2 linked regions of the Canis lupus familiaris genome follow. Each later gene encodes a partner of the first gene's protein in a complex. Links are inferred from orthologs where the notes say so. Each region holds a gene or a part of one and is shown in the gene's direction. Other genes may lie near its edges. The genes, in order: VDAC1 and PPIF.

Region 1 (14,649 bases):
TGAGTCCTGGACACCTACCAGAGTGTCTGGCCCACTGTAGGAACTTAGTACATGTTTGTTGAAAGAATGAATGTTTCTAAGAAACTTTTTTTAAAGATTTTATTTATTTATTCATGAGAGACACAGAGAGAATGAGACAGACACAGGCAGAGGGAGAAGCAAGCTCCATGCAGGGAGCCTGACATGGGACTTGATCCTGGTGGGTATCCAGGATCACACCCTGGCCCAAAGGCGGCACTAAACCACTGAGCCACCCGGGCTGCCCAGAAACTTTCTTCCATAACACTGGAGATCATCATCATATGTTTATTTATATGGTGATTTGAGCAAAGTCTGTCTTTTCCACAAGGAAAGGAACAGTGTTTATACCCATCATTACATTATATTGCCACTTTTTTAGGGCAATGTCTGGAAAATAGGAACCTACATGAATTTTGGCTGAATGAGTGAACTCTGAGTGGAGGGACAGGCTGCAGGGCAAAAGTGAAGCATCTTCCTAGGGAGTCATCCCTCATTACAACGCACAGACCTTGGATCTTGAAAAAGAGGGCTATAAATAAAAATGTTCTGAATTGATACTCTTTATTTTTTTGAAAAGTCTTTTTTTTTTTTTAATTTATTTATGATAGTCACACACAGAGAGAGAGGCAGAGACACAGGCAGAGGGAGAAGCAGGCTCCATGCACCAGGAGCCTAATGTGGGATTCGATCCCGGGTCTCCAGGATTGCGCCCCGGGCCAAAGGCAGGCGCTAAACTGCTGCGCCACCTAGGGATCCCTGAATTGATACTCTTTAAACCTGCCTGAGGGAGTTGGTGTTTGGCGCAGCCGCACCCTGAATTTCTCTCTGTGAGGTTATGTAAGGTCATGGCATTTCTCTGAGGACCACTTGGGGTGCTTCTGAAAAATGCAGGTGGTGGCCCCACCCCCCAAAATATTAATGGAGCACCTTGAGTAGGGAGACCCCACCACCTGCATGTGCCAGGAGCCCTCCGGGTGATTCTCAGGTGCACCACATTTTCAGAAACATTGCTTTTCATTTCTGCATTCGAAGTTTGTGGTTCTGGGGGCTGGGTTTTCCTATAGACCACTTGTGTCTCTTAAGTCCTTGGTAGCTTTATTTACTTATTTCCCTCAGAAGGCTTTGTCAACAAGCAGTCTGTTCTATCATCCCTGGAAAATAAGGCTTGTTTCCTCCTCTTTTGAGGAGGCTGATGCTCAGGATCATGGAGAGGTCATATGGTGTAGTCCCCTGTGGCTGGGCAGGATCATGCTTAAACCACAGAAGGCAGAAAGGAAACAAAACTGGGTGTCTTCTCCTGCAGACTGATGATGTGTGGACTTATGAGGTTTGTGTCTGGGGCTTATAGAGAGAAGAGGTGGGGTCCTTGATATGGGGAGGCCCTTGGCTCAGTTAATGGAAAGCCAGTATCTCCCCAGGGTTGAGGAGGAACTGGGGAGGGAATGGGAAGGATAGAAGGCCTAATCTTCTTACGTAAGAGTCATGGAAGAACTTGTTTTGTAATCCCGGGGCAGCAGGGCTGCTAAGTTTAGATTTGAACCTGAAACTTCTGAACGTCGAGAGGCATCTGAGGCTGCCGCTCCCTTGGGCTGTGCTGGCAGGAAGGGCTGTGTCTCTGGCTCCATGGTCTCCAGCTGGGCAGTGGGGGGAAAACTGGGGCGTTAGAGGAAGGAGAGGCCTAACTAGTTTTAGGCAAGCTATGGCATTTCCAGAGGAAACTCTGGTGATCAGCCCAAGCCCCACAGTGTCTCCACCAGCAAGGACTATAGTAGGTCCTGGGGAGGGGGGTGAGGCATGAGAGACTGGGGTGGGGGCAATGGCAGGGACACTTTGGCTCAGTAGCCAACCTGGCTGCTGATTTGTTGCCTGCCTACCTGTCACTGTCCATATCAGCAAGAAAGTCCCTCTCATCGGCCAGGACAGAGGAGGTCCCTGTGGTGAGGCCAGTGAGGAAGCAACTACTGTCCTGGAGCTCCTGGAGGAGGCTTTGGGAATAAGAACCAGTAGGCAGTATAGTCTCAGCTAGGGCAGATGCTTGGTCTGAGAGTAGACCTTGGTCAGCCTGGAGAAACCAGGACAGTCCTCTTCCTACAGAGTGTATGCGTGTGTACCTGTGTTTGGGAATGGGAGTGGGGGGTGGCTTAGGGGAAGTGCTACGTGAGAGAGAGCAGTCTATCAAACCATGCCCCCCCCCTTTTTAAAAAAGATTTATTTATGTATTCATTCAGAGAGAGAGAGAGAGAGACAGGCAGAGACACAGGCAGAGGGAGAAGCAGGCCCCATGCAGGGAGCCCGATGTGGGACTCGATCCTGGGTCTCCAGAATCACGTCCTGGGCTGCAGGCGGCACTAAACCGCTGCACCACTGGGGCTGCCCAAACCATGCCCCTTTTGACACCAGTTGCAAGTTTCAGGGTCTCCAAGATCACCTTTATTTTTTTTTTAAATTTCTTTTTAAAAAGACTTTATTTATTTATTTATTTATTTATTTATTAATGAGAGATGGAGAGAGGCAGAGACACAGGGAGAGCAAGAAGCAAGCTCCATGCAGGGAGCCCGACATGGGACTCAATCCTGGGTCTCCAGGACCAGGCCCTGGGCCGAAGGCAGCGCCAAACTGCTGAGCACCCGGGGCCGCCCAGTCAAGATCACCTTTATATGTAATAATTTACTAAAAGGACTTGCAGAACTCACCAAGGGCCATTATGGTTACAGTGATGGATATGGAATATTGCCAACTAGGGAAGTTCTCTTGAGCCTTGGTGACCAGAGATTTACTGGGGCTCCATAGTCAATTGTCCACGTAGCTGATATCAACATCCAGTCCCTCTGGAGGTCCAGCTGCTACTGTGTGACTCAAAGCTCCCACCCTAAATCACATTGTTAGTTTATCTAGTTAGTAACTGGTCCCTCCTCTGAATCACATTGTTAGTTTATCCTGTGTGGCCAGCCCTCACCCTAAATGAAGATAGTCCTATCTGGCATGACCTCGCAAGGGCTCAGAGATTATTTTCCAGAAGCTAAGGGCAAGTTCCAGACCTCTCTTAGAATGAAGTAAGATTAAATTCCTTATTACACAGGCAGATTAAACAGCCCTCCACCCACAATAAGGCTTTGAGGCCTTTCCTCCTGGATGATCAATGACAATCCTTGGGCACGATTTCTAGCTGTCTGGCCAGGAGGACCGAGAACGGCGGTCCTTAAAGTGTGCCACCTGCATAGAAGTCAGTCACCTCCTTTTACAGTGTGTGCCACTCACCATCTATTTAGACATTTGTTTACTCACCATTTACTGAACACCTGCAATGTGAGCAGCATTTTAAGGAGGGAGATGGAGAATCAAGAGCAAAACAAGTGTGAAAGAATTTTGAAGTGTGCTACACGCTAAAAAGGAAACAGAGGGCTGACCTCAGAGTAAGAAGAGAGGGGAGAAAAGAACCTGCTTTAGATTGCATGGCAGGAAAAGGCAGCTTTTAGTGGGAAAGACGGACGGACGAGTGTGCCTGGTGTAGGGGCACATGGGCCTCAGCTGCCATTGGATGCTTCCATATGGGTTTCGGAAAGGTGCCCAGCAGCAGAAACATAACTGCTTCCTTGTGGTCGACAACAGTCTTGTCAGGACCCAAGGCTTCCTGAGCCATGTCTGGACAGGATCTCAGCCCCACACATCCCCTTTGCCTGTGCTTGCGCAGCATGTAAGCCACAGGACTCCTTGGACGAACAGTACCTGGAAACAAGCATCCCTGGGGCAGCCCTACCGTGCTGGGACCAGATACAAGGCCATTTTAACTGCATCTGACCTCACGCACATTTCAAATAATGTGTTGCCTGTTAGCAGAGGACATGGTGCAGAAATTGGGAAATTCTTCCTCAAGTCCCAGACCTTTGAGCAGTGCATGCAAGTCAAGGGCAAGAGGCATTTTTGTTTCTGTCTTCAGGCCATGCTGCATGCATCCACTTACTGGTGGGGTCTGGAAAAGAGATTCCCTGTCTCTTGCAGTAAAGGGGATCCTATCTGAATATTTGCCTGGTTTTCTTCATCTTTTGTAGGACCCAGTACATGCTGAGCAAAGGACAAAGTCCTACCCTCTTTTAGCTCAGAGGTCTCTGGTAGTATATTAGCCCAAGTCAGTTCTACCTAATACTCTCAGCCCCACCCCCACACACGCAGGCGCTTGCACACACACTGGTGTCCCTCTCCAGGGCCCTTACAAGTACCAGAGCTGGACCTGGATGAGGCTCAGGTTTGCCATACAGTAACATTAGATCTGCGTTCCAAATCACAGGTGGTTTTACATAGCAGAAATCCCTGCTTCTTTTCATAATTGTTTGATTTTAATTTGTTTCCCACACTGTGTGAAAGTTGAAACTTAGAGAAAATAAAACAAAAACAAAAACACTTAGAACCTTGCCATTTATTACGGACTGCATGTTTCTGTCCTCCCTCAAATTCAAATGTTGAAACTGTAACCCCCAACGGGAATATATTAGGAGGTGGGGCCTTTGGGAGGTAATTAAGGTTAGATGAGGTCATGAGGGTGGGGCCCCCTGATGTGAATAATGCCCTTATAAAAAGAGGAGGAGACAGGGGATCTCTCTCTCCTTCCCTTCCCCCTTCCCCTTCCCCCTTCCCCCTCCACCTTCCCCACCCTCTTCCTCTTTCTCTCTGTGCTCACACCAAGGAAAGCCATGTGAGGACATAAGCAGGAAGGGGGCTCTCACCAAGAACCCAATCATGCTGCCCACCCCCTCCCAATCTCAGACTTCTAGCCCCTAGAACTGTGAGAAATTAATGTCTGTTAACCTAGTCTTTGGTTTTCTGTTTTAGTACTCTGAGCTGACTAAGCAGTCTAACAAATCATTTATAGTATTGTCTTCCGAGGTTTGTGTATTAGTTTCCTAGGCTATTATAAAAAACTACCTGGGGGCACCTGGGTGGCTCAGTCGGTTAAGCATCTGCCTTCAGCTCAGGTCATGATCCCAGGGTCCTGGGATTGAGCCCTGCATTGGGCTCCCTGCTCAGTGGGGAGCCTGCTTCTCCTTCTGCCACTGCCTACTGCTCTGCGTGCTTGTGCTCTCTCTCTGTCAAATAAATAAAATCTTAAAAAACAAAACAACTACAATAGGCTTAGGGGCTTAAAACAATTTAGATTTAGTTCAGGTCAGAAGTTCAAAATTAGTCTCACTGGGCTAAAGTTAAGGTGTCAGCAAGGGCTGGTTCCTTCTAGAGGTTTTGAGAGGAGACTCTGTTTCCTTATCTTTTCCAGCTTCCGGGCTGTCTGCATCACGTGGCTCATGACCCTTTCTGCCACCATCAAGGTCAACAGAAAGGCATCTTCCAATCTTTCTCTCTGACCTTTGCTTCTGTTGTTACATCACCTCCCCTTGCCCCGAGTCTCTTGTCTTCCTTCATAACACCACCGTGAGTACAGAGGGCCCACCCGGACAGTCTAGGTTCACCTATCCATTTCAAGATCCTGCACATAATCATGTCTGTTAAATTACTTCTGATATGTAAGGTAACATATGTTTAGATCTGGGTGATTAGGGCATAGACATCTTTGGGAGGTCATTATTCTGTCTCTATATTTTTTATTTTTATTATTATTTTTTAAAAGATTTTATTTATTTATTCATGAGAGACACACAGAGAGAGAGGCAGAGACACAGGCAGAGGGAGAAGCAGGATCCATGCAGGGAGCCTGATGCGGGACTTGATCCTGGGACTCCAGGATCATGACCTGAGCCAAAGGCAGACCCTTAACCACTGAGCCACCCAGGCATTCCCGTCTCTACAGTTTTTAATGTCATGTTGCAGTAATACTAATACACAATTGCCTGCAATTAGCATTGTAGTAAATATTACCCCACCGGAAGTCTTTGTGACCTCCTTTCCTCAAGGCTATGAATGCTCTATAGAGGGTGTAAGCTTCAATTTGCTCAAGCTGGAAACCAGGCCGTATTCCATCCTGGGCTGCCATACATCTTTCTGAAGCTAGTATTACCCCTTCTTGGGATTGCTTTAGCATAGGTTCCCAGGAGCAGGTCAAAGGAGTAGGTTTATGATTCTTGTTATATATTGCCTAATTGCTTTCCAGGAATGCATCACTTTATACTACCTCTCCTGATCAACCTCATTTGGCTTTCAGGAAAAAAAAAAGTTCTCTCATTTTATAGTAAAGGTATTATATCTCACTAAAGAATATTTGGGAGATATAGAAAGAACTAAAGGAAAAAAATCAGTCCCATAAACTGATCTTTTAAAAAGTTTAGTTTTTTGTAAACTCTATACCCAACGTGGAGCCCAAACTTACAAACTGATGACCAGGAGTCACAAACTCCCAGAAATTGAAACACAACTTCCATTAATACTTAATATATTTCTTTCCTTTTTTTTTTTAAAAAAAGATTTTACTTATTTATTCATGAGAGACAGAGAGAGAGGCAGAGACACAGGCAGAGGGAGAAGCAGGCTCCATGCAGGAAGCCCTATGTGGGACTCCATTCTGGGACTCCAGGATCACGCCCTGGGCCAAAGGCAGGCACTAAACTGCTGAGTCACCCAGGGATCCTCCAATAAATTTCTTTCCAATATTTTTCTCTGAGTGTATGTATATATAATTTAAAAAAAATCATAGATACGATGTTGGAACTTCTTGGACCTGTTTTAGATCTGGGACACCTCATTGTTTTGGATCTGCAGGAGAAAAATTTTTATTGTGCTTATCTTGGGATGTCCCCAGGATATGGTCTGTTTCTCTTTTGTGGACTGGTTTCATTCTTAGGGTCTTTTTTAAAAATTTTATAAAGATTTTATTTATCCCCTGCAGGGAGCCTGTTGCAGGACTTGGTATCAGGACCCTGGAATCACAACCTGAGCCAAAGGCAGACTCAGTAACTGAGCCACCCAGGTGCCCCAGCGCAAGTCTTTATTTCAAAAGCCCTGAAGTCTGACGAAGATCATTGGTCCATCCTGTAGCCAGTAGGGTGCAGTGCTTTGATTGGTCCAAGAAAGGGCCTGGAGTCAGGGATGGAGTTAGCTCCATCAAAGCTTATGGAATGACTGGAGAGAGAGAAGGGTCATTCCCTCCAAAGAAACACTGTTATACCTGACCTGGGTTTATTAGCTCATAATTGCAAGGGAGGACCTGATTGGCTGCTCTTGGGTCAGGTGCCCCCCCTCCAGTCCGAACCTGGCAAGAAAGAAGGAAGGTGGGGCTGGAGGTGGCAGAGCCAAGCCTGGCATAACCTGCTGCCTGGTTCAGCTCTTCCTTTGGGGCTGTGGTGGGGAGCAGTCAACACTAGGGTCTGAGGATGCCATGTTGCACCAGATTTCTTCAGTGTTTTTGGAGTGCTTGCTTCCCATTTTAAACTTGCCCCAACCCTCTGAAATTGCAGCTGAGCAGTTAGCCCAGTTGCCCAGAGTCACACAGCCAGTGAGTCAAAGAACACTCGTGTGATTCATCTGAAAGTGACACCTGGGGGAGCCCCAGAAGGGACCCAGAGCAGGTGGGGTATGGGGAACTCTTCCCACAATCAGGGTCCTGAAAGGTGGTTTGGCAAGGAGGTGCTGGAGAGGAGGGGAACACTTAGGACCTTTGGTCCAAGCATCACACCTGGGCTTTACTGACCCAGGGTGAGATATCTGCTCCTAGCTCCTGTGACATTTCTGGAGCCCCATCTTCCCCTAGAGCTATCTGGCTCTGCCCTGCCTCCTTGAGGTCCTGTCCTCCCAAAGGCGGCTTTCCTGCGCTCATGGGTGACTCAGTGGCTTTCCTTGCCTCACCCTCTCCAGGAGTGTGCCGGGGCCTTTGTGTGTGGAGCGGGAATGACCAGGCTGGGAAGCTCTGAGCCCTCCAGTTAGCCATGGAGCAGCTCGTGGGCCTGGGGAGAGTTCCAGCATGAGCGCTCCACGCTCCAGGACCTCAGGGGGTTTAGCGTGCTTAGACCAGAGACCCCTACAGAGCCCGGTGCACTTTGCACCGCCCCCGCCCCCCCCTTCCCAACCCCATAAGCTGGTGCCCTTCTTCTCGGCATCCGGGCCCCATCGGAACACCAGTCAGTTGCCTTTTCCTCCTCCCGCTGCCCTCGGCCCAGCAGCCTGTCCTCTGGCCTCTGCCGCCGCCCCAGCCGCCTGCTCCTTTAATCGGCGCCACAGCTGGTGGTGAGCGAGCGTCGGGGTCCCGGAGCCCCTGCCTCCTCCACGGGCCCCGAGGCGCGGAGAACGAACGTTTGTTGGCGGAGGCCAAAGCCGCGCAGCCCCTCCGACCGGCCACGAGGCTCTGCGCAATTCTGGGTGACGGAGGCCGCCGGCTCGGGCGGGGCGGGGGCTCCCCGGGGGCCCGGGCTGGCTCCCGCCTCCCGTCTGCGCTCTCGGGCTCCCAGCGGGGGACGTTCTGCCGAAGCGCGGTTTGCTGTTTTCACTTCGCAAAAGCTCCGAAAATGGCCACTGGCAGTCTCGCTCCCGGGGAAAGTGCCTGCTACTCTGGAGCGCAAAAGCTCGGCGCACCCGGGTTGCTCGGCGCTTGGCCCTCGGCCGCCGCGGCCGGCACGCGTGTCCCCGCGCACGCACCCCTCGCGCGCCGCCTCGTCCCGCGCCGGGGCCCTCGCCGCCCCCCTCCGCGCGCCCGCACTCGCCCGGGGCACCGCGTCGGGGCAGGCGCCGAGGGCGCGCGGAGGGGGCGGCGGGCGCGGGCGCGGGCGCGGGCGCGGGGACCGGGCCCCGGCCTGGGCGGTGTCCGGGGCGGGCCCAGGGGCGGGGCTCGCGTGCCCGGGTGCGCAGGGTCGGGGCGGGTCCGCGCCGCCGCCGTCCGCGCCGCCCCGCCCCGCCCTCGGCCCGGCCGTGCGCTCGGTTCCTCGCGCAGCAGCCTCCGCGGTAGGTGCCGCCGAGCCCGCCGCCGAGCCCGCCGCCGCCCGCGAGGTAGGCACCTCGGCCGGGGACCCGCGCCCCGCAGGCGCCCGGGGGGGCGGGCCGGGCCGCGGGAGCTGAGCGGGAGGCGGTGGAGGGAGGAGCCGCGCGGACGGGGGGCCGAGGGCCGGGCCGGGCCGGGCCGGGCGGCGCGGGGGAGCGGAGCGGGGCGGGAGCGGGGCGGGAGCGGGGCGGGAGCGGGGCGCCCCGCGAGGGCCTGGGCGGGCAGCGGCGGGCGCAGCAGGCCTCGGCGGGCGGCCCGGGCGGGGAGCGGGCGGCCGGACGCCCCGGGGCGCCTGCGGCTGGGGCTCGAGCCTGCGGGGACCGCGGGGACCGCGGGCGGAAGGGCACGGGCCGCGCGTGAGGGCCCGGCCGGCTGCAGGTCTCGGTGACCTTTGCCGGCGGCGCCCTCTGGACCTGGGTCCCGCCCTCGCGGCCCGGCGGGGGACCGCCCGCCACCCACGCTCGCCGGGCTCGGCCCACGGACCGGCGCGGGCCATGCGGTGGCCGCGGGGATGAGCCGCTGTGATGACCGAGGCCCAGCCCGGCCCCGGCCCCGGCCCCGGCCCCCGCACCGGCCCCCGGCCCCCGGCCCCGCACGCCCTGCCCGGCCCGTGGGTGCACGCCCAGGGACGCTGGCGCCCGGCCTTGTCCGCGGGTCCTAGGCCTCTAGGGCCCGGGCGGGGGGCTAGGCCTTGGGAAGGGAGGCCCGGCGGGAGCGGGATGTGGCCTCCTTGGCCTCTGGAGCGCCTCCCGGTTTGTTTGCTCGTTCATTCACGGAGCGCGGCGGCGCCTTCACGAAACTGGCTCGGAGCCCTTGGATTTCCGGACTTGCAATCCCAGTGACTTGTCCAAGGTCACACTCAGCAGGCCTGAGTGCTCTCATCTGTAGAATAGGAGCAGTTACAGCTCTCCCTCGTTGGGTTTTTGGGAAGAATAAAATGAGTTGGTCAACACGAAGCCTTCAGGGGAAAGCTGGACAGCCTTGAGGCTTTTTGGGAGGATTTAGCCCATCCTCTGCAGACCATTTTACTCCACGTGGTGTTCTGGAAAGGGTTCAATAAACAGCCAGCTGCTGTTATTTTAAACATTATTACTAAGCACTTGTATACTGGGCACTGAGTAATTTTCAGGATAATTCATGAAAAATCCTTATAGAAGTTTATAGACAGACAAGGTCAGGCTGAAGCAGGAAGTTGCCTTTGGGTGCAGAGCTGAGGGAAGCCTAGCCTTGTTTGACCCATTCCCTTGACCAGCCTCACCTCTCTGGAGGAGATAGAGAATGGATCCCTCCTTTTCTGCATTCACTGTTGGCAAGGCCAGGGCAGACTGCCCAGGGCTTGCCTTGTTTCTCCAGCCCAGCTCTGGACTGAGTTCTACAGGGTTAGGCTTAAGCCTTATGCAGCTTTGTTTTCAGCGCCTGGGGTGGTGCCACTTGACCCACATTAGGTACTTGAGAAGGGTCTGTGGGGGCAAATGCAATCTTGCTTTTTATCCAAGAAGCAACTCACCCTTACTGAGAGAAGGATAGTTTTTACGATGGCAGCATGTGGCTTAGAGTAGGTGCTCATTAAGTATTTGTGAAATTATTGAATGGGCATATGTAGTGGATGCAGGCCCAGACCAGAGTTTCTTGATCTTGGACATCCTAAGGGACACACACTCATTCACTTCCAGCAAATACCCTTGCTTAGGAGAGAGTCACAGATATTTAAAGACTCGCAGTTGAATGTACAGCCCTGGAGCACTGAGATGCAGATCTGTTTCCTTTTTTTTTTTTTTTTTTAAGATTTTTAAATTTTATTTATTCATAGAGACAGAGAGAGAGGCAGAGACACAGGCAGAGGGAGAAGCGGGCTCCCTGCAGGGAGCCCGATGTGGGATTCGATCCTGGGTCTCCAGGATCACGACCCAGGCTGTAGGCGGTGCTAAACCACTGCGCCACCGGGGCTGCCCGCAGATCTGTTTCCTAATTTGAAATCTGCTTTAAACCTATTACCTTCGTTATGTGACTTTTTCACATCCTGTGGGAAACTTGTAGAACTGGTGTTTCTGGGCCTGCAGGGTGGTGGTGGTGGGGTGACCCCAGTGAGTCGGGATTCTCCTAAGGTTTTGGGCCTGGTGCTTTTCCTCTTTCTGATGAGTGGATTGGTAAAATGCTTGACCCTGGAGATTGTCCAGAGTAAAATTCTTGACCGTGGGGAGGGGGTAGTACTGCTCTTACTTGATTACTTAGTTTTATTTCTGTATTCTATTCTGTATGCAATAGGCAAGGGCTATCTGTAGACACAAATACAGTGGCTTAGGGGGACCATATAGTGATGAGTTGACTGTGGGCTGCTGGTCCTGCTGGGCAATAGGCAGATGTGGACAGTAACCTTCAGGCTGGTGCTAAGGAGAAACGCTGGCCCTCCACTTTTGCCTGTAAGATGTTCCCAAGGGACTGAAGTTCACTTGGTCCTTGATGGAATTTCTCATGGCCTACCCTCTTTGTTGGTGATGACTTTGTTGGCATGTGTGGTTGAGAGCCAGCTCAAATCTGCAGGCAGCCCCTCAGGGTACTCAGAGGGTCTGTGCCCTTGGGCTCCCTACAGACACTTCTGGTAGCCACTGAGGAAATGTGACCAGTGGGATCCTCCACCCGGCCTGGGCACAATCCTCCTTTTCATTGCTTGCTCTTAGTGGTGTGTGGGTGGGTATCTATATGCCCTTTACCCAGAACTGTGCTAGAAGGAGTCTCGGAGAGCAGACTGAGTTCACAACACAGCTCTGACAGGAGCCCCCGGATCTAGTACAGGTCAAGTCAATGTCTTGTTCCTTAGTTTCTCCCCTGTGTGATCATCATCATCATCAAAATAGTCCTTAATTGAGGGCCTGCTCAGCACCCTCCTGGGGGCTTAACATGTGTTCTGTAACATTGAATCCACTATCCTGCAAGCCTTGGGAGAGAGGTACTATGGTTTGTTTCTTTTTCATGGGTCAGGAGGCTTGAGCACATATTTGGGATTCAGGGTTGTCTGGCTAGTTCCAGGGCTGGCAATTTTGTTTTTGTTTTTGTTTTGTTTTGCTTTTTTTGGTAGGGCTGGCAATTTTGCACTGAGGTTGCCACACCAAGGGGCCACTGGGATGAGCTAATAGATGTGAATGCATTTTGAATGGTAGGATTTGCTGTTCAGAGGGGAAGTGTTTTCTTTCCCACTAATCGGAGTGAACATGTGTATGGCTGGGCGTAGGCTAGCTGTCAGTGGATTGCAGTGGATCACAGTCCTGTGGAGTCATCCCTCTTTGTCGCAAGGACAGTGACCCTGGACATCTGTCAGGATTGAAAGGTCAGTTTTTCCTCGGGTGAGATAGGATGCATTCTAGGACCTACTGGGAGAATATTCAGCTAAACAGTCCCTCATTATGGTCAGGTAGAGAGTGGCCTTTTGATAACTTGCATTGCAAAGGTAATTATAATAAGAAATACATAAAATGTAAATCTCTAATAAAATACTATCTGGTTGTTGCATACCTCCCAGGCACTATTCACTGTATTAAGTATTTCATGTTACCCATCTAATTCAGTTCTCACAGTGATGCTGAGATAGGTACTCTTTCCCCATATTAGAACCTGAGAAAAGTGAGACTTTTCTTGCCCTGAGCCACGTATCCAGAGAGTTGTGAACTGGTACTGGAACTCAGGGCTGCTTGACTCCCAGATCTACCTGCCCAAGCACTATCTATTTTAACCCCACTGGATCAAGCCAGGCAGTAAGGCTCCAGGTAACTTGAGTCTGAGGCCACGCCGGAGCTCTGGGTGTGCATGGGACCTAAACCTCATGGGTGGGCAGGCAGGCAGGCAGGCAGGGTGTCCCCGGGTCAGTTACATTGTCTTGAGGATTCTGATGGAAGGCTGTGCTGGTGGTGGCCTACCTCCCGGGGTGTTTGAAAATAGAAGCAATGCCTAGGAAGCCGGGCTGCCCGGTGTGAGACTGTCGTGGAGTGGGAGGGAAGGACAGCTGTGCCGGAAACACAGACTTGGTACCAGAGCACACGATGTTGGTTTTGCCAGCATCCTATAGACCTAACAAGGGGCTGCCTTTTCCCTGAGAAAATGTGGGATGGGTATGTGTGTGGCAGCTTCTGATGGTGTGGGCCCAGTATGTTGGCTTTCAGAGCTGGGCTGGCCTCCTCCTGGGGAACTTGCTTTTCCTGGTCCCCAGGGTTAGGGGGAGGTGCTTTTGTTCTAATCCCTGGCTGGTCTGATGCTCCTCCTATATGCTGGCCCAGTTCTGCTCAGACAAACCACCTCTAATGCTGTTAAGAGAAACAGCAGAACCAAAGGCTTTCTTACAATTTTCCCTTTCTAAGGGAAATCCAGGACGGTGGTGATGGTGATGGAGGTGATTGCCATGTTAGTTGGGGTCCTTGCAGGAATCAGGTATGCACTTATGTGCAGTAATAATGAAGGGATCATTTGCCAAGATGTGAGCAGAGTGTGGAGCACCTGACAAGTGATGTGCTCCACACCACCTCCTCCCCCTCCCCACAACTTTGGGTCCTTTGGAACCTGGATAGGGCCCCTTGGCAGGAGCCATGGCCTTGGAAGATCATCAGTGCCCACCTAATGCCCAGCAGGGAGGGAGCTTGGGGAACGAGTGCCCCAGCCTCACTCTTCCATCTTTTGCTGGTGTCTCCTATTGGCCAAGAAAGACACTATTGTTAGCTCCATTTTATGGAGCAAAATGAGGCACTGAGAATATAAGTTCATCAGAGGTTTGTCCAAAATTATACAGCTAGTAAAGGCTGGTGCCAGTAGAACCTCTGCCAGACTCATAGTTCCTTCTAGTAGTCACTGTATCCTGCTGCCTGGGCACCCGGATAGGCTGGGAAATGCTGTAGCAGGGTGGCTCCTGGTGTTTAGGTCCTAGCTCTGTTGTACCCTTGCCCTTGAAGATAGTGTCTGTCAACCCATTGGCTGTAATGTTGCTCAGAAGACTTATCCTGACTAAGCCTCGAGGACTTAAGGCTACCCTGCTTCCTGTGTGAACCACTTCAGTGGTGGTTAGCTCTCTGAGGGTACCAGGGCTCCTGTGTCTGGATCCTTCTGCCTCTGCAGAGAAAAGTGCTGTCCTGCCTGTTTGCTAGGCTAGGAAAGGCTGAGAGGGAGGGAAGGAGGCTTTTGAACAAGTGGCTCAGGTGATTCTCATGTACACTAAAATTAGGAAACTGTCCAACTCCTGCCTCCTGGACAGGATGTCCAGAGCTACAGGTGGTCACCTGGGAGTAGAATGTGTCCCCTATAGGCCTTGCTTGTTAACTGTGACATCTCAGTGTGGTTTGCATCTGTTGTTGGAACCAGGATAGATACTTTCCACATGGCTTTTCCTTTTGGCTCCTCTATTGCAACAGCCATTTAGAACATGACTTATTGCGTCGTGTAGGCAAACATAGCTCAATTTCAGACACGTTGGCTGGATTTTTAAATTTCCTGTCCTTAAAAAAAATTATCATTGTATCCCAACAACTTAAATAATAAAGTGGAATAAACATTGAAAATCCTATTTTTAACTCTACTACCTCCATAAACCCCCTCTTCTTTCCAGAAGCAGCTCCCAGGCAGCCACAATTTACAGATGGGCTTGTAGCATTTCAACATGCCTTTCCATCATTCACAAATGTGTGAATATACAAATGTGTTTGTAAAAGGGTTTTCCTCTAATAACATGGAATTAACAC
Region 2 (14,462 bases), on another chromosome or scaffold:
GATCCCGGGTCTCCAGGATCGCACCCTGGGCCAAAGGCAGGCGCCAAACCGCTGCGCCACCCAGGGATCCCAATAAATAAAATCTTAAAAAAAAAAAAAACCACTCATAAACCGGCCATGGGCACACCTTAGGGCGCATATCCGCAGGGCACAGTATCATTCCCTCAAGATCACCCGTTCCACTCTGGCTGTGAGTCCTCGGCTGGCTGGGCTAGGTGGGGTGCATGCACCCATCCACCAAGGCCCCCGTGTGTCCAAAGCCCTTCACCAAGTCCTGCCCCTTAACACGGACCCTTCTGTGACAGTAGCAGCTGTTTACAGATGAGGACACTGAGGTCCCAAGAAGCCAGAGACGACCTCCCTGAGCTCATCCGTACATGTGCTTTGGTCCGAGGGTTTCCTCCCGGGTCAGGCCGCGCGGACCCCTCTCATAAAGCAGCCCCGCCCCAGCCCCTGCCCAGCACAGCACCTTACTTCAGGCGTGCGCGACATGTACCACCGTCCAAGAGCATCTTCCTTCTCCTTTGCTTTTTTTTTTTTTAAATTGTTGTACCCTCTCTTTTCCCTGTGAAAACATGCGTTTACTTTTCTGTCCAATGACCCCCGTGTCTCTAAGCCCTAGAGGAGTGGCAGGTGCACAGCAGGGTGCAGAGCAAAGCTGTGGAGTGAATGCGTGAAGTGGGGGGCTGGGTTTCCAGCAGACTTCTGCTGTCTCAAAACCCACACTTGGAGGCCCCGGGGCTGGCGGACAGCCGCCCCTTCCCCGGAGCCTGCCTCCGCGAGGCTACCCACCCTCTCCCTTTGGGGGCAGCTTCTCAGGAAGGCCTCCTCAGCCCCCAGGGCCACCCAGCTCACGCGGCCTGCAGATGTATTCAGCAAGTGAGCTCCCACCCTCCTTGCCCCGTAACCCGCAGGGGAGCTGGGGCTGGGTCGGCTCCCAGGGGCCCACAGCACCTACACACGCCACCCCGCGAGCCCGGCTCTGGAAAGGGGAGTCTCCCCAGCCCTTCCTCTTGGGCCTCCCTCTGGTCACTGTCTACCCCCCCACAACCACCAGCACCCTGGCCTGGAGGGAAACCTCCTTGCCCGCCCCCCTCCACTTCCCATCATGCTCTGCCACGGCGTGCTGGGGAACTGAGCGGCCCAGTGGTTCCCGGAAGCCCAGAGAGGCTGCTGGCTTCCAGCTGCTCCCTGGAGGCTGGGAATGCCCGGGGGAGGACCCAGAGTGCAGCCCTCCCCGTGGCCTGCTGGCAGGGTCCGACTCGCTTCCTGAGCTCTCAGCCAAGGCCTCCTCTCCCGGGCTCCCCGTCAGCCCCCATGACTGGTACCATCCTGGACCCCAGGCCCCCCAGTGGAACCAAGAGACATGAAAGCCCAGGCCTCCTTCTACCTACAGCACACTGTGCAGTGACTGATACTGGCAATGATGGCTCATGGAGACCGCCCCCCTTACCCACATCAGGGCCAATTCCCTCCCAGCCCCTCCTGGAAGGGTCTCCAGGGGCACCGTAATTGCATCCCTCACGACAGCCACCATATGCACCCCTGCCACGCACCCTGGCTGCCTGGGAGAGGCCTACTCAGTGGCACCCAAAACAGCCTGTCCCAGACTCCATCCTGTATCCCCAGGGCAAAGCTCAGGCCCGACACGTAACAGGTTCTCTGAAAACATGTCTGCTGAGCGAGGCGAGTCTTGCAGAAAGGGTCCTGGCAATGGTGAAGAGAGGGCTTCGTCCCCAGTCCTGGTACTTCCAGGCTGTGTGACCACGGGCAAGTCCCTGTCCCTCTCTGGGCTTCAGTTCTCTCATCCAGATAGCGGAGATCAGAACTTGCAAATTACTGGCCCAGAGGTACCATCTGCGTTGTGGATATGGTGTTTGTGGCTCGTTCAGTGTTTAATTTTATTTTAAAATTCCCAATGTTTAAAAATTGGGAGATTCCCATAAAACCTGAGGTTTTCAGCTTTTATTGAAAAAGGAGAAGATCTTGGCTCTACTGGGTCCCTAGTCTCACACACACAGTTGGCTGGCCGGGGCAGCAGCGGCCCCTTTACCTGGGGTGTGGACACAGCGCAGTGCCCCCTCACTCCCTAGACCTCGCCCAGTATGCTTCACTTGTGTGTGTCACTGCCCAGCCCCCGCAGGCATCCGAATTTGTCAGCCCTGAATGTCAGCATCACCTGTCTGTTCTTTGGCTCTATGACACCTAAAGGAATCCTACGGGATCCCCAGGTGACAAAAACCATTAACACCCTGGATGAGAAGCCACTTCAGCTGAGTGGAGAGAAACTGCTGTTTCTGAGGATGACACAGAGTCTATAAATAGCCTCGGAGCCAGGTGAGTACGGACACCTGCCCAGTCTCACCTGGGCCGGGAGTCCTGGAGGGCGGGGCATGCTTCCGTTCATGGCTCAGCCCAGGGAATGTCCCTCTTCCTGATGCCGCTGAGGACAGTACAGGTAGGGATGACTTCACAGTTCAGCCTGTGGAGAAGGTGGAACTTTTCTCTGGCTTGGGCAGGAAGCAGTGATGACATTTGATTTTCCAAACAGGGTAGGAGTAACACGAGTGAATGAGGCCAGTTCCCAGTCTGGGGTCCTGGGGATGGGGCCACTGCACCATCAGTGGCTCCTCTGGGCTACCCAACAACGTTAGACCTCAGCCCTGCCTCCAGGACCCCCCTGTGATTGCCCCCTACTCACACCCCAGCCTTTCAGCTTATGGTCAATATTGCATCACAGCCCTTCCTTGAAGGTAGCCCAGGCTGGCTCTGGCTCACTCCCCCTCTGGAAGCTCCTCTCCATCTTTGAGTCTCTGCCCCTCAAATGTGGTTGTCTCCAGGCTGATCCCCCAGGCGGAAGCCACCTGCTCTGTCCCTTGAGTTCCACAGTCTTCTCTGGCTAACTCCTCAGCTTCTCTCCTACTGCTTGTCCCTCTTAGTCCCGCCACCCCATTTACCAGCCCCATGATGGCAGCAAGAAGAGTCTAGTCTAAGCAAGGACTCAGACAGAGTCCTCCCCGTTCCAACACTCCAGCCCTGGGCAAGTCACCCTCCCATCTCTTAGGGCTTTCCTTCCCCATCTATGAAATGGAACTGCCTCCCATGCTATGGTGGGAAGCAGACAAAAAAAGGGCTGGGCAGGGGCTCTGAGAATGAAAAGGATTGAGTGAACGATGGCACTCAACCATCCTGGGTTAGGGCTGCTCATGCTTCCCTGGGGTGGGGGATAAGTGGAGGCCCTCCAGGAGCAGGCTTGGAGGACAACGGGGTAGCACTAATCCACCAGCATAGCTACGGACTGTGTGAGCTGAGGACCTGGAATGGACACTGGGGTGAGTCCTCTCTTCGTCTTTCAAATCTATAGTATGTAGTGATACAGTAGGGATCTGGGAGATTGCTGAGGGCCTGGATGGGGCACGGAACAAGCCGGCTTCCCACTCAGGCCTGTCCTACTTTAGGGCACGATAGTCATGAGAAAGGAGGAGCCATTCCCCAGGACCGAGTGAGGCTTCATCCTGGGCTGGAACCTGGGAAGCCTCCTGGCTCCAGGATGCAGCTGGAGCATCACTGAGTGACCAGGGTCCTCTTGGATCAGGATTAGGGAAAGGGACTGTAAACTTCTAGAAAAGGGCCAAGCCAAAACTCTCATGAGCCTAGAACCTCATGAATTTCCTTGGGCCAGTATTTTGCCATCTGACTCCTTCCCAGGAGCTGACTCAGGTCCCAGCTCAAGCCCACCTGACTCCAAGGTCCAGCCTCCACCCTCTTCTTGGGCCCCTTGGACCTCGGAGCCCCGGCAGCTGAGACCCACTGCTATCTGAGCCCTAAAGCTGAAGTAAAGATGGTCTAGACCCTGTCTATTGCTGATGCACAGTACCTAACAGTTGACACACTCCTCTCTCTCTTGTTCATTTTACCCTGGAAACAAGCAGGGTCAGGATTACCATTATATCCTTATTCTCCAGAGGGGAAACTGAGTCTCAGAGAGGTCTGAGAAGACTGGCACAGGCTGGCAGGGGAAGATCCAGGCTGCTCCTGGCCCTGGGCCATGCCTTCCTCAGTATGGGTCCTTGTTTCCCATTTGGAGCGTTCAGGTTTGCCAAGATGCTCTCCTGGGGCCCCTATTATTTACTCACTATGGGCCTCCCACACCTACCAGGTTTCTATGAAGCCCCCCTCAACCTGTGGGATAAATCCTCTTCACCACGGTCCTCAGTTCCCCTTCTCTTCCTGCCTTGCCTTTTCACTTTTCCTTGCATTGCCTATGAACTGGGCCCTGTGCTGTTACCTGCAGGTGCGTTCTTGGGGTGACAGGGGTGGGAGGGAAGCCAGCAGCTGCCAGCTGACCCAGTTGCTGGGGACCAGGCCTGTCTATGGGATTGGGGAAGGGGCATCAGACTCACCCCTGGTGGAGGGCTGGGGCCTGGCCAGAGCCTGCTGGGCACCTGCTGAGTTCCAGCGATGTGGGAAGAGGATGTGGTGTCTAGAGGCATCCGGGGACAGGGCCAGACCAGGACTAGGAGGCCTGTGGTCGCCAGGGGAGGCGTCACTCTAATCCCCCTCATCTCCTCCTCCTTTGTCTCTCACTCACGTCTCTCTTGGTCTCTCTGTCTGCAGGGCCTAAGGGGGGACAGGAGGCCTATACGGAGGGCTCAAATGTAGATTTTTGTTATATTCAAATAAAAACATATGGCTGCTCATATTTTGGAGCTGACCGCGTTTTAGCACAGTTTCCCGCTTTCTTTTTTTTTTTTGTTTTAGTGTGTCGGGGCCCTTGCAGAGTGGAACCGGCCCCCTTTTGCCAGGTCGTGCGTGTCCCCGCTGTCCCAGGCCTTGGGGGTTGCCCCAGCCGCCGGGCTGCGCTGCCCGCCGGGGCCGCCAGGGGTCGCCCGCGGCCAGGCCCGGGGGGGGCGGGGGCGGGGCCTGGGGCGGGGGCGGGGCCTCGGGGCCGGCCCGGCCCTTAAAGCGGCGGCGCGCGGCGGGGCTGCGTCTGCCTCCCGGTCGCGCGTGTCCGCGGCCGCCGTGCCCTCGGTGCCCTCGGTGCCCTCCGTGCCCTCCGTGCGACCCCGGCCGCGATGCTGGCGCTCCGCCGCGGCCCCCGCCTGCTCGGCCTGCTCCGGGGCCCGCGCGCCGCCCCGCCGCGCCTCCCCGCCGCCCGGGCCTGCAGCGGCGGCGCCCGCGACCCGCCGTCGTCCTCGGGGAACCCGCTCGTGTACCTGGACGTGGGCGCCGACGGCCTGCCCCTCGGCCGCGTGGTGCTGGAGGTGAGCGCCCTGCCTGCCCCGGGCCGCGCCGGCCGCCCCGGCGACCTCGCCCCCGCCCCGCCCCCGCCGCGGGCCTGTGTCCCCGGCCCTGGGCGGCCTCCGAGGGGGGTCGCGGGTCTCGGCACCGCGGGGCGGGGCGGGCCCGGGGCGCGGACGAGCTCAAGGTCAGGTCGGGCAGGTCGCCGGCGGGGAGAGCCCGGCCTGCAGGCGAGCGGCGGGGCCGGGGGCACGTCCTGACCGCGGGTTGGCCCGGGCCGCACCCCGACCCAGGCTGGGGGCTCGGGGTGCCCCCGCGGGCGGGAGGGCGCTCACGTGGCGGCCCTGGCGGAACCCGGAGCCCGCCCCGCCCCCTCGGTGGGACCCGCCCGCCTGCGGGCACCGGGGAGGGGCGGGGGAGGGGGGGGGAGGGGGGAGGGGGAGCGGGCAGGAGCTGGGAGGCCGCCCCGGAGGGCCCCCCTGCCCTTCACCCCAGCCCCCCCCTCCGGCTCCCGACTCACAAGGTAAGACCCAGAGCGGAGGGCGGGAAGCGCAGGTGTGGCCCTCAAGGAGCTCCCTTTTGAACCGAGACGCCCCCGTCGGGCTCAGCGTCCTCTTCTGGAGGATGGAGACGAGACCACCCTCCTTGCTCCCGTCTGTTTGAGCGGTTCCCGCCTGGGTTCTGGAAGCTGGGAGGCGAGAGCCGGGCTTACCCCCCCCACACTCCCCTGCCTCTCTCTAAGCCTGTTTCGCTTCAAGGCCTTGGGGCGCTTGGACTGGCTCCTGGGGGGGCCAGAGCCCCCACCCCCTCCCGGTGTGCTGGGGGCCCAGCTGCAGAGCTGCACCAGTTCCATCCCCTGGGAGCAGGCCCCCTGGGAGCAGGCCGGGGTGGCACTGTCTTCTCTAGCCATAGATAAGGAACCCGCGGCTGCCTCCTCCCAGCCTGGGTGCAGGAAATGACCGGCCAGAGGAAGGCTGGGAGCGCCGCCCATGGAAGGGGCTCTTGGGCCACTGGGATTGGGTGGTGAGGAGGTTCCTCCGTCACCTGCCTCCACACTGACCACCTATTCGTGTCCCTGGTCTCTCCCCACAGCTGAAGGCCGATGTCGTCCCAAAGACGGCAGGTAAGACGGGGTTTGGGGCCCTTCTGAGTCTGGTCTAGATGGAAGAGAGGGGCCAGGTGGGGAGGATGGCGAGAGGAGTCGGGCACAGAGACCCAGCACCAGATGGGCGTTCCAGAGAACGTGAAGCTCGGCCGCTGGGTACCCGGGCAGCTCTCTGCGCCCCTCTGCCCTGCAGTCCAAAACAGCCTTGCAACTGGTAGAAACACCTGTAAATTTCCATGGGGACATCTTCCTCCCTCCCGGTGCCCAATGGGGCAGGGTGGTGGCTCCGTGGCCCGGGGACTCCATGCCGGGAGCATGTGCTTGGACACCAGGACACTGAGCTTTGAGAACATGACTTGTCCCGGGTCGCCCAGCCAGAGCAGGCCCCGGGGAGCGGGAGTGGGGGTGGGAGGGGGAAGGGGTGCTGGCTAGAAGGAGGCGCGCCCCTCAGCCTGGCCCTGCTGACCTGCCTCTTCCTTCAACCCTCAGAGAACTTCAGAGCCCTGTGTACCGGGGAGAAGGGCTTCGGCTACAAAGGTTCTAGCTTCCACAGAGTGATTCCGTCCTTCATGTGCCAGGTACTGCGGCCCTGTCTGCCTCGGTGCCTCCTCTGTGAAGTGGGGGGTGATGATGGCGGGGACGACCTTGTATGGTGGTTGTGAGGCCACCTGGGTGCGAGGAGATGCCGGATGGACGGGGCGGGTGACTGTCTGGGCCTGTCTTCTCGCCCAGAGTTGGTGGAGCTCATGTGGGCGGCCGTAGCTTCCCTGCCCTGGCAGTTGAGCGACAGGATGGCCTGGCTGGCGGAGCTGTGGGGGGCGAGCGGACACGGAGGCCCCGATGTGCATGGGGACGGGTGGGGAGGGGGGGGACGGTCAGGCTTTGGAGGACCACATCCCCCATGTGTCCCACTGAGTGCTTGGCGTGCTTGGAGTGGAAGAGGGGGAGGAGGAGGGAGGGAGAGAGACAGCACTGACAAGAACACACAGGTCTGGACCCGGAACTTCGACACCAGGGCCTCTTTCTCAGTTACTTGAATGTTCTTCAGTCACGTGTGCTGCATGTTTTTAAAAAACACCAGTATCGCTGTGTCGGAAGTTTTGGGATAGAAGTGGACAGCGAGAACTTCCCGAGGGTCAGGACCCCGCTGACAGGGCTTGGTGTCTTGAGGCCAGCAGACTGTAGAGGCAGGGCATGAGTGTCATGACCTCTGTGAGACCCGCCAGCCCAGAATGTTCTCTCCCCCATTCCCTCCACTCAGGCCTAGGGCCGCCCTCATATTGTGAGGGGCGGTGGGCTGGGGCTCGGCCTGGGCCTGCTGATGGGGCGAATGAGGTGAACACAGGGGCGGGAGGGGAGGTTGTGGCAACGTGGACAGGTCTGGCCAAGCCTGTGGCTCTCTGCTGCCCCCAGCTCTGCCCAAGGGGCTGTCCTGAGCCAGGTTAGGGTCTTCCTCTGAATAGCAGCAGGCGGGCCAGGGCGCTTCCCAGGCTGGCAGGCTCCCTGGGGCATGAACTGGTCCCAGGAGGCCCAGGGCAGGGTTTTGAATCAGGCGCACCTGGGGACAGCCTGCTGGCATTTAGGTCTGGCTGGTCAGGTCACTCCTGTCACCCGAGGAGCACAGCTCAGGAACACAGCCATGAGGCCTTGGCCAGGGGCTGGGGCTGGGGCGCCTCTGGCCACAGCTTCCTGTGAAGCCTCAGGCTGGAGTGAGGAAGGATCCCAGGCCTGGGCAGGTGGGGGGGTAGAGTGGGGGCAGATGGATACGCCATCCTGGGTCTGCAAGGTATAGGGAGGCCACCTGGCTGGTGAGGAAGGAGATGCCGGGCAGGCAGTGGGGCTCAGCCTAGGGAACTGGCTCTCTGGCAGCTGCCGCTCCCCCCCACAGAGCAGCCTTGGGAACAGGGACCCCTGGCCACCTCCCTGTCTCCCCTCCAAGAGTTGCAGGTAGAAAATTCTAGGTCACTACCTATGAATCTTCTCAGAATGGCCATTAGATCCTTTAAGAATCATTTAAAAACTTGCCTGGATAAAAAAAAAGTGAATCGTTTGGAAGGTAGGGAAGTTATTCATGGCCAAAAATATTTAAGCTTTTATTTTTTCTTACTTTCTTTGTTTTTTAATTAGTCCGTACATCCCTGGATGTTTTTTGACCCCCTGGCGTGCAGGGCTGCCGGCTGGGTGGGCCCTGGGTGGGTTGGGGGGCTCCCTCCCAGCGCCGGGGCAGCACCCCCGCGGCCAGCTCAGGGTGGCAGCTGCTCAGGAGGTGCTCTGTGCTCGCAGGCGGGCGACTTCACCAACCACAATGGCACCGGGGGAAAGTCCATCTATGGAAGCCGCTTTCCTGATGAGAACTTCACGCTGAAGCACGTGGGGCCAGGTGAGCGAGCCTGCGGTTCCCCGGTCCGGACGCCCTGAGCTCTGGGCCGGCGTTTGCAGCCTGGTGACTGATTTCCCAGAACCTGGTGATGCCCCTTCCCTCCTTCTACCCTCCTGGTCGGGGTGTTGGTTCTCCTGGAGCTTTTTCATGCCAAAATAGAAATAAGCCTTCCTTGGAGAAACTGCTAGAGAACGCCTTTGGGCAAAAGCCAGTGTCGGTTCACATTTAAGACCCAAGGTGCAGTTCGCAGAAACGTGGAGGTCGGGGTGCACAAGTCCCTCCCATTCCAGTCTCCACCATGGATCACGGGACGGGCCCTGGGGAGCTGTCGAGCGCTGGGCCCTGCTTGTCCTCGCCAGGCTCCAGGACCTCAGACCCAGCCGTCCCTGCCGTGGCGTGAATGACTTCCCAGGCGGGAGGTGCCTCCTGGTGCAGCGTGGCTCACTCCTGCTTGTTTTTGCAGGTGTCCTGTCCATGGCAAATGCAGGCCCCAACACCAACGGCTCCCAGTTCTTCATCTGCACCGTGAAGACGGACTGGTGAGTCCCCACGCCTGACTCCAGGCCCTCTGGGAAGGAGGAGGATGCAGCTGGAAGAGGGTTGATGTGCTTCCGGGGGAAGGTGGTGTGAGACCGGACCGTGCTCTGGGACAGAGGCTCTCACCCGGGCTATGTGTCCGTCCGTATGGGAGAAAGACGAAGTGCATAAAAGGAATGAGGGAGGATTCGGGTCGTTCTTAGAACCGTGTCTTTGTTAGGTCTCTGCTGCTGCGTGTGCACATGCACACACCATGGGCTTTTACCAAATACATCTGGGACAGGCTGCAGAGCTTCTCAGGCCTCAGGGTGGCCTGTGGTGAAAGCCTGTTTGCTTGCTTTAACATGTTGTTCTGGCCTTGAGCTTGGAGCACACCTCTGGCCCACACGCCTGTGGATTTTAGGGATGTCTTCCCTGGCACATTTCCTGTTACCTCGTAAGTTCGTCTGTCCAAAGTCCCCTGTGTCCTAACCCTGAGGCACATGGGGTTGAGGGGACAATAGTTGACCAAGAGATAAGACTTATTAAAGTCCATTTCCTAGGACTCCAGGGAGACCTGAGTGGCAGATGGATACTAGCTGTCGCTGACCCCAAGCCAAGAGGGACACGGGTGTCAGGGCAGGTCGTTGCTGGCTCTGGGCTCCTTCTGTGGAACCCCTGATAGATCCTGCGGTTCTGCCCTTGGCTGGATCCAGAGTTGGCCTTGCTGGCACCAGACTAGACTGCTTTTGGGTTCTTGGAACTCTCTCAGATTGGGACTTGTGATCTTGGCTCTCACCTTGCCACGCATGACCACGAAGATGGTTCCATTTACACGCACCTCTTGTTTCTTGAGAGTAGCTTGATACCCTGTGATCTCCGTGGGCAGAACAAGAATAATTCACTTTTCATAGATGAGGTTACCAGGATCCAGGTTAAGCGGCCCAGGGCAAGGTCACACGGCATGTGAGACAGAATGTGCCCTGGAAGGGAGGGATCCCCTGGTGCGTTTTTGGGGAGTTCAGCGAAGCTTGATGCCGGAGCTTTGGGGGTGGGTCCAGATTTTCAGTGTGAGTCCCTGTCAGAGTTGCTAAATAGCTAAATTGATGAATAGTTCCATGACTGAGGGACCATGATGACGTTGGCGGACACTGCACTACTCTTATTCGTACTTGACTCCCCTCACAGGTTGGATGGCAAGCATGTTGTGTTTGGCCACGTCAAAGAGGGCATGGACGTAGTGAAGAAAATAGAATCTTTCGGTTCCCGGAGTGGGAAGACGTCCAAGAAGATCATTATCACAGACTGTGGCCAACTGAGCTAACCTGCCCCGGCCAGGGCGCAAGGGTGGTTGCAGCTGCACTGGTGTTGACTCACCTGGACGGCCGCCTTGGGCCCCAGCAAAGGTGCCCCGTCAAGTCGCCTGTGCTCGTTCTACCATCAGTGTGTCTTTGAGGAAGGCCTCTCTAGGATGTCACATCTCCACAGGGCCCAGCACACTGCCTCCCATGTCCACCCTTCCTCACACCCCATTTCAAGACCCTGGTCGTGAACACGATGTCACCGTTCCTCATCAGGCCTTCTCCGTGACCCCCCAGCCCAAGTTCACCTGTGCCTCTCATCAGGCCTTCTCTGTGACCCCCCAGCCCAAGTACACCTGTGCCTTGGATGTGGAAGCAGCGATGGCTTAGCTTTAGGGACGGGTTCCTGCCTTTTCCTCGGCCAGGGCCAGGAAAGCCAGCCGCTGTAAACAGGCCATTATAGCTGTTCAGTGGTACCTTCGAATCAGAATAATTTAATGCACGAGGTTGCCCCGAGATGAAGCTGTGACATTAACTACCCTGTGCCGTCATATGACCTCAGTTGGCGGCAGAAGCCATGGGAACCCAGAGCTTGGCCTTCGGAACATTATCGGGGCTTTTGTGAAGGGTCCTTGGCCCTGGCATTTTCTCCCGGCCTCTGTGAATCCCACTGGTTTGCTGCTGTGGTTTTTGAGGAGAGTCTGGGGGGAGGGAGGAGAGAAGCAGACAAACCTGGGAATAAACCCACTGCAAGCTGTGCCTAGTTGGTGAAGTGGTGAAAAATGGAAATGGCCCACACATGCCGGGGGCTCTGGAGGAAAGTAATTGTGTATTTTCGGAAGGGCTTTGATTTATCTGTGTTTAATGTACTGATTATGTATATAATTCACTTTTGGGACATTTGTGTTCACTTGAAATGTGAAAATAAATCCTATTTTCTATAGAAGACTGTGTGGTGTCTGGTGGTCTTAGGAAGCAGTGTTTATAACTCCAGGATTTGGAGCCAACTTTTATTTATTTATTTTTAAGATTTTATTTATTTATTCGTGAGAGACACAGAGAAAGAGAGAGAGGGACACAGGCAGAGGGAGAAGCAGGTTCCCTGCAGGGAACCTGACGGTGGGACTCGATCCAGAGTCTCCAGGATCACGCTCTGGGCTGAAGGCGGCGCTAAACCGCTGAGCCACCCGGGCTGCCCTGGAGCCAACTTTTACTGGCGTTACCACACATGGGTCCGGGGCTCTGCTGAGGGTTTTTACCCGGATGATCTCACGTAATCAGTCCAACCAAGGATGTACTGTTGTCATCCTCATAGACGAGATGGGCCCAGACAAAGGATCTTAGCACCCACAGCCTGTCAGTGAGCACTGGCTCCCCACCCCATCCCCCGAATCACAGCTCCCTGTCCTAGTGACCCCGAGTCTGTTTTGGGGGCTGGCTCACAGAGTGGGGAGAGGCAGATGCGATCCATGTAAAGGGCACAGTGTGGGGCCTGGCTCGTCTTTTTAATATACACTCCGGAGTCCTAGGGCTGATGAGATCTCCCATGTGTCAGAGTCTTAGACAAGCATCTGTGATCATCTCCAGTTAGGTGTGGACTTGACTCTCCTAGATTTGCCACTCACATTGGGGATTCTAGATGATTCTGAGTCAACAGGGAAGGCAGATTGGAGTGGGAGAGCGGGATTCAGAACTGAAATGGCCAGAGATGGCACAGTTTGAATAATAGAATAATCACATTCTTTTTTTTTTTAATAATCACATTCTATTCACAATACGAATGGAATTATTTCACCTTGGGATTCCCAGAGTCTAATGGTGTGTGCTGCCTGTCATTCTGAGGTCACAGTGGCCACAGTTGGGTCATTTGGAGGCTTTCTATGATGTCAGTCTCCAGAGTTTAGCTGCATGGGCAGGGAGCTCAGCTGGCTTAACAGTTTTCTTAAGAAAGTCTTAAGAGATTATGCCTGGGTGCCTCAGCGGTTGAGTGTCTGCGCTTGGCCCAGGGCGTGATCCTGGAGTCCTGGGATCGAATCCCACATCAGGCTCCCTATAGGGAGCCTGCTTTTCCCTCTGCCTGTGTCTCTGCCTCTCTCTCTCTCTGTCTCTCATGAATAAATAAATAAAATCTTAAAAATTCTTAAGAGCCGTAGGGGTTCTCAGAACAAGGGGGAGACAAGGAACATGGGCCCCCAACCCCTATCTTCAATCAGATACCCTCTTTTTTCTTGTTGGGGCTCTATAAGGGGTCTCATGTGAAGAATGGGATCTTGAGCCCAACGGTAATCATGATAATGGTGATAATAATTGGTGATTACTCATCCAGTCCAGTGTTTTACAGATGGGTGAACTAAGGCCCCGAGTGGGGTCACGATGCCCCAGGTGACCCTGTGAGTTAGTTGGCAGAGCAGAGGCTAGAACTCGGATGCACCGATCCAGAGGGCTCCTGGTCAGGGGTCTCTCCCAGTGCACGGGCCCCTTGGTCCTCAGACCCCCACATCCAGAGCTCTTGTGATTGCTGAGGTCAAAGCCACAACTGCGTCTCTAGAGCTTTCTCCTGACCTCTGAGGACTCTCGGGAAGCAGCGGTGCTGTTAACAAGTGTGAGGGGCAGTCCCTTGAGTTGGGACCTGCTGGCCCGTGGTGATTTCTGGCAAGTCTCAGGGTCTCAGCGCCTGGGGGGCTTGCATTGACTTCACAGAGCCATTCTCTTTCCGTGAGAGGGGGTGAGTGTGTGTGTGTGTGTGTGTGTGTGTGTGTGTGCCTCCATCCAGAGGAGTGTGGTGGGAGGCAGGAGACAGGAATGCAAGAATTGTCTAAAAACAGGGTTTCCTGAAGATGAGGCCACTCGCTCCACTGGCCAGCTCCCTTCTAAGCACCCAGCTCAAGGGCCTGGGCCTGATCTTACTGGATAAAGCGGGAGCCTGAGATGCAGATAAGAGGGTGACTTGCTGGCACGTGGCACCTGGTGCCTGAATGAAGGCGTGAGTCATCCACGTGCTCTCAGATGTAGTCATGTGACACATGGAAGCACAATGTGTTTAAATGTCTGGAATATCATTTTCCTGAGACAACACATGATAAACTTTTCAAAATGACTTCACCGAGTATGACATGCATATAACAAAAGTCATGCATTTTAAGTGTACCCCTCGGTCACTTCTGATAAATTCACACACCAAGTGAAGTTATACAATATTCCCATCTCTCCAGAAAGCCACCCCCATGTGCCTTCCCAGGCCACCACCACTGCATCCTGTCACTGTAGATGACTCTTGCCTGTTCTAGGACTTGGTATATGTGGAGTCATGCAAGATTTGCTTGCTGTGCCTGACTCCTTTCATGGAGCATGTGTGAGAACAGAGGAGAATTTAACCCCCTTCTGGGCTCTAGCAGGTTGCTCCATGAAAAGGAATGTCTGTAAATGTTTCCCAGGTCCGATGAGGCCGGAAGCAATGCTTCTAGGAATCCTGGGGTGCCGGCAAAGCATGCAGAGTCCTGGGCCATACCTGAGACCTATTGGATATAAAACTCTGTGGGGAGGATCTAGGAATCTGAATTTTAAAATAGTAATTCTGAAGGTTGAGAATTTGAGCATAGGCCTGCAGGAGCGAGGGGGCAAGACTCAAAAGGAAACCACTAGACCACTAGCGTCATTGGTTACTTCTGGAACGCTTTTTGGTGGAAGCTCTGGGAATCTGGAGCAAGCCCTCTACCTATAAAGAGCTCTTGGATGGTGACGGGGAGCGGCCAGTTCAGTCCAAGCTTTGTGGGCTGTTGCTCTTGCACAGCGCTGGCGAACGTGGCTTCCCAATGCCTCAGCTTGGTGGGGAGGTGCCTTTGAGGGGAGGACCTCTGGGTGGTGGCCTCAGCTTTTCCTTCATCATCAGGAGAAGGTCTGGCTTGAGTGGGTCCAGACT

The links.
Region 2: VDAC1 (region 1) and PPIF share a complex: the UniProt entries of both Homo sapiens proteins name them as parts of the mitochondrial permeability transition pore complex. The link is inferred for Canis lupus familiaris from reciprocal best matches to the Homo sapiens genes VDAC1 and PPIF.

Annotation. Positions count from the first base shown.
Region 1 is NC_049232.1:22,226,958-22,241,606, reverse strand, and holds the start of VDAC1 (voltage-dependent anion-selective channel protein 1), read left to right. Parts: upstream 1-8,295; 5' UTR 8,296-8,316; intron 8,317-8,840; exon of another isoform or gene 8,841-8,940; intron 8,941-14,649. UniProt on the Homo sapiens protein: Non-selective voltage-gated ion channel that mediates the transport of anions and cations through the mitochondrion outer membrane and plasma membrane.
Region 2 is NC_049225.1:29,796,450-29,810,911, forward strand, and holds PPIF (peptidyl-prolyl cis-trans isomerase F, mitochondrial), read left to right. Parts: upstream 1-5,075; coding exon 5,076-5,264; exon of another isoform or gene 5,265-5,318; intron 5,319-6,333; coding exon 6,334-6,364; intron 6,365-6,835; coding exon 6,836-6,924; intron 6,925-8,629; coding exon 8,630-8,726; intron 8,727-9,189; coding exon 9,190-9,265; intron 9,266-10,430; coding exon 10,431-10,566; 3' UTR 10,567-11,489; downstream 11,490-14,462. UniProt on the Homo sapiens protein: PPIase that catalyzes the cis-trans isomerization of proline imidic peptide bonds in oligopeptides and may therefore assist protein folding. Involved in regulation of the mitochondrial permeability transition pore (mPTP).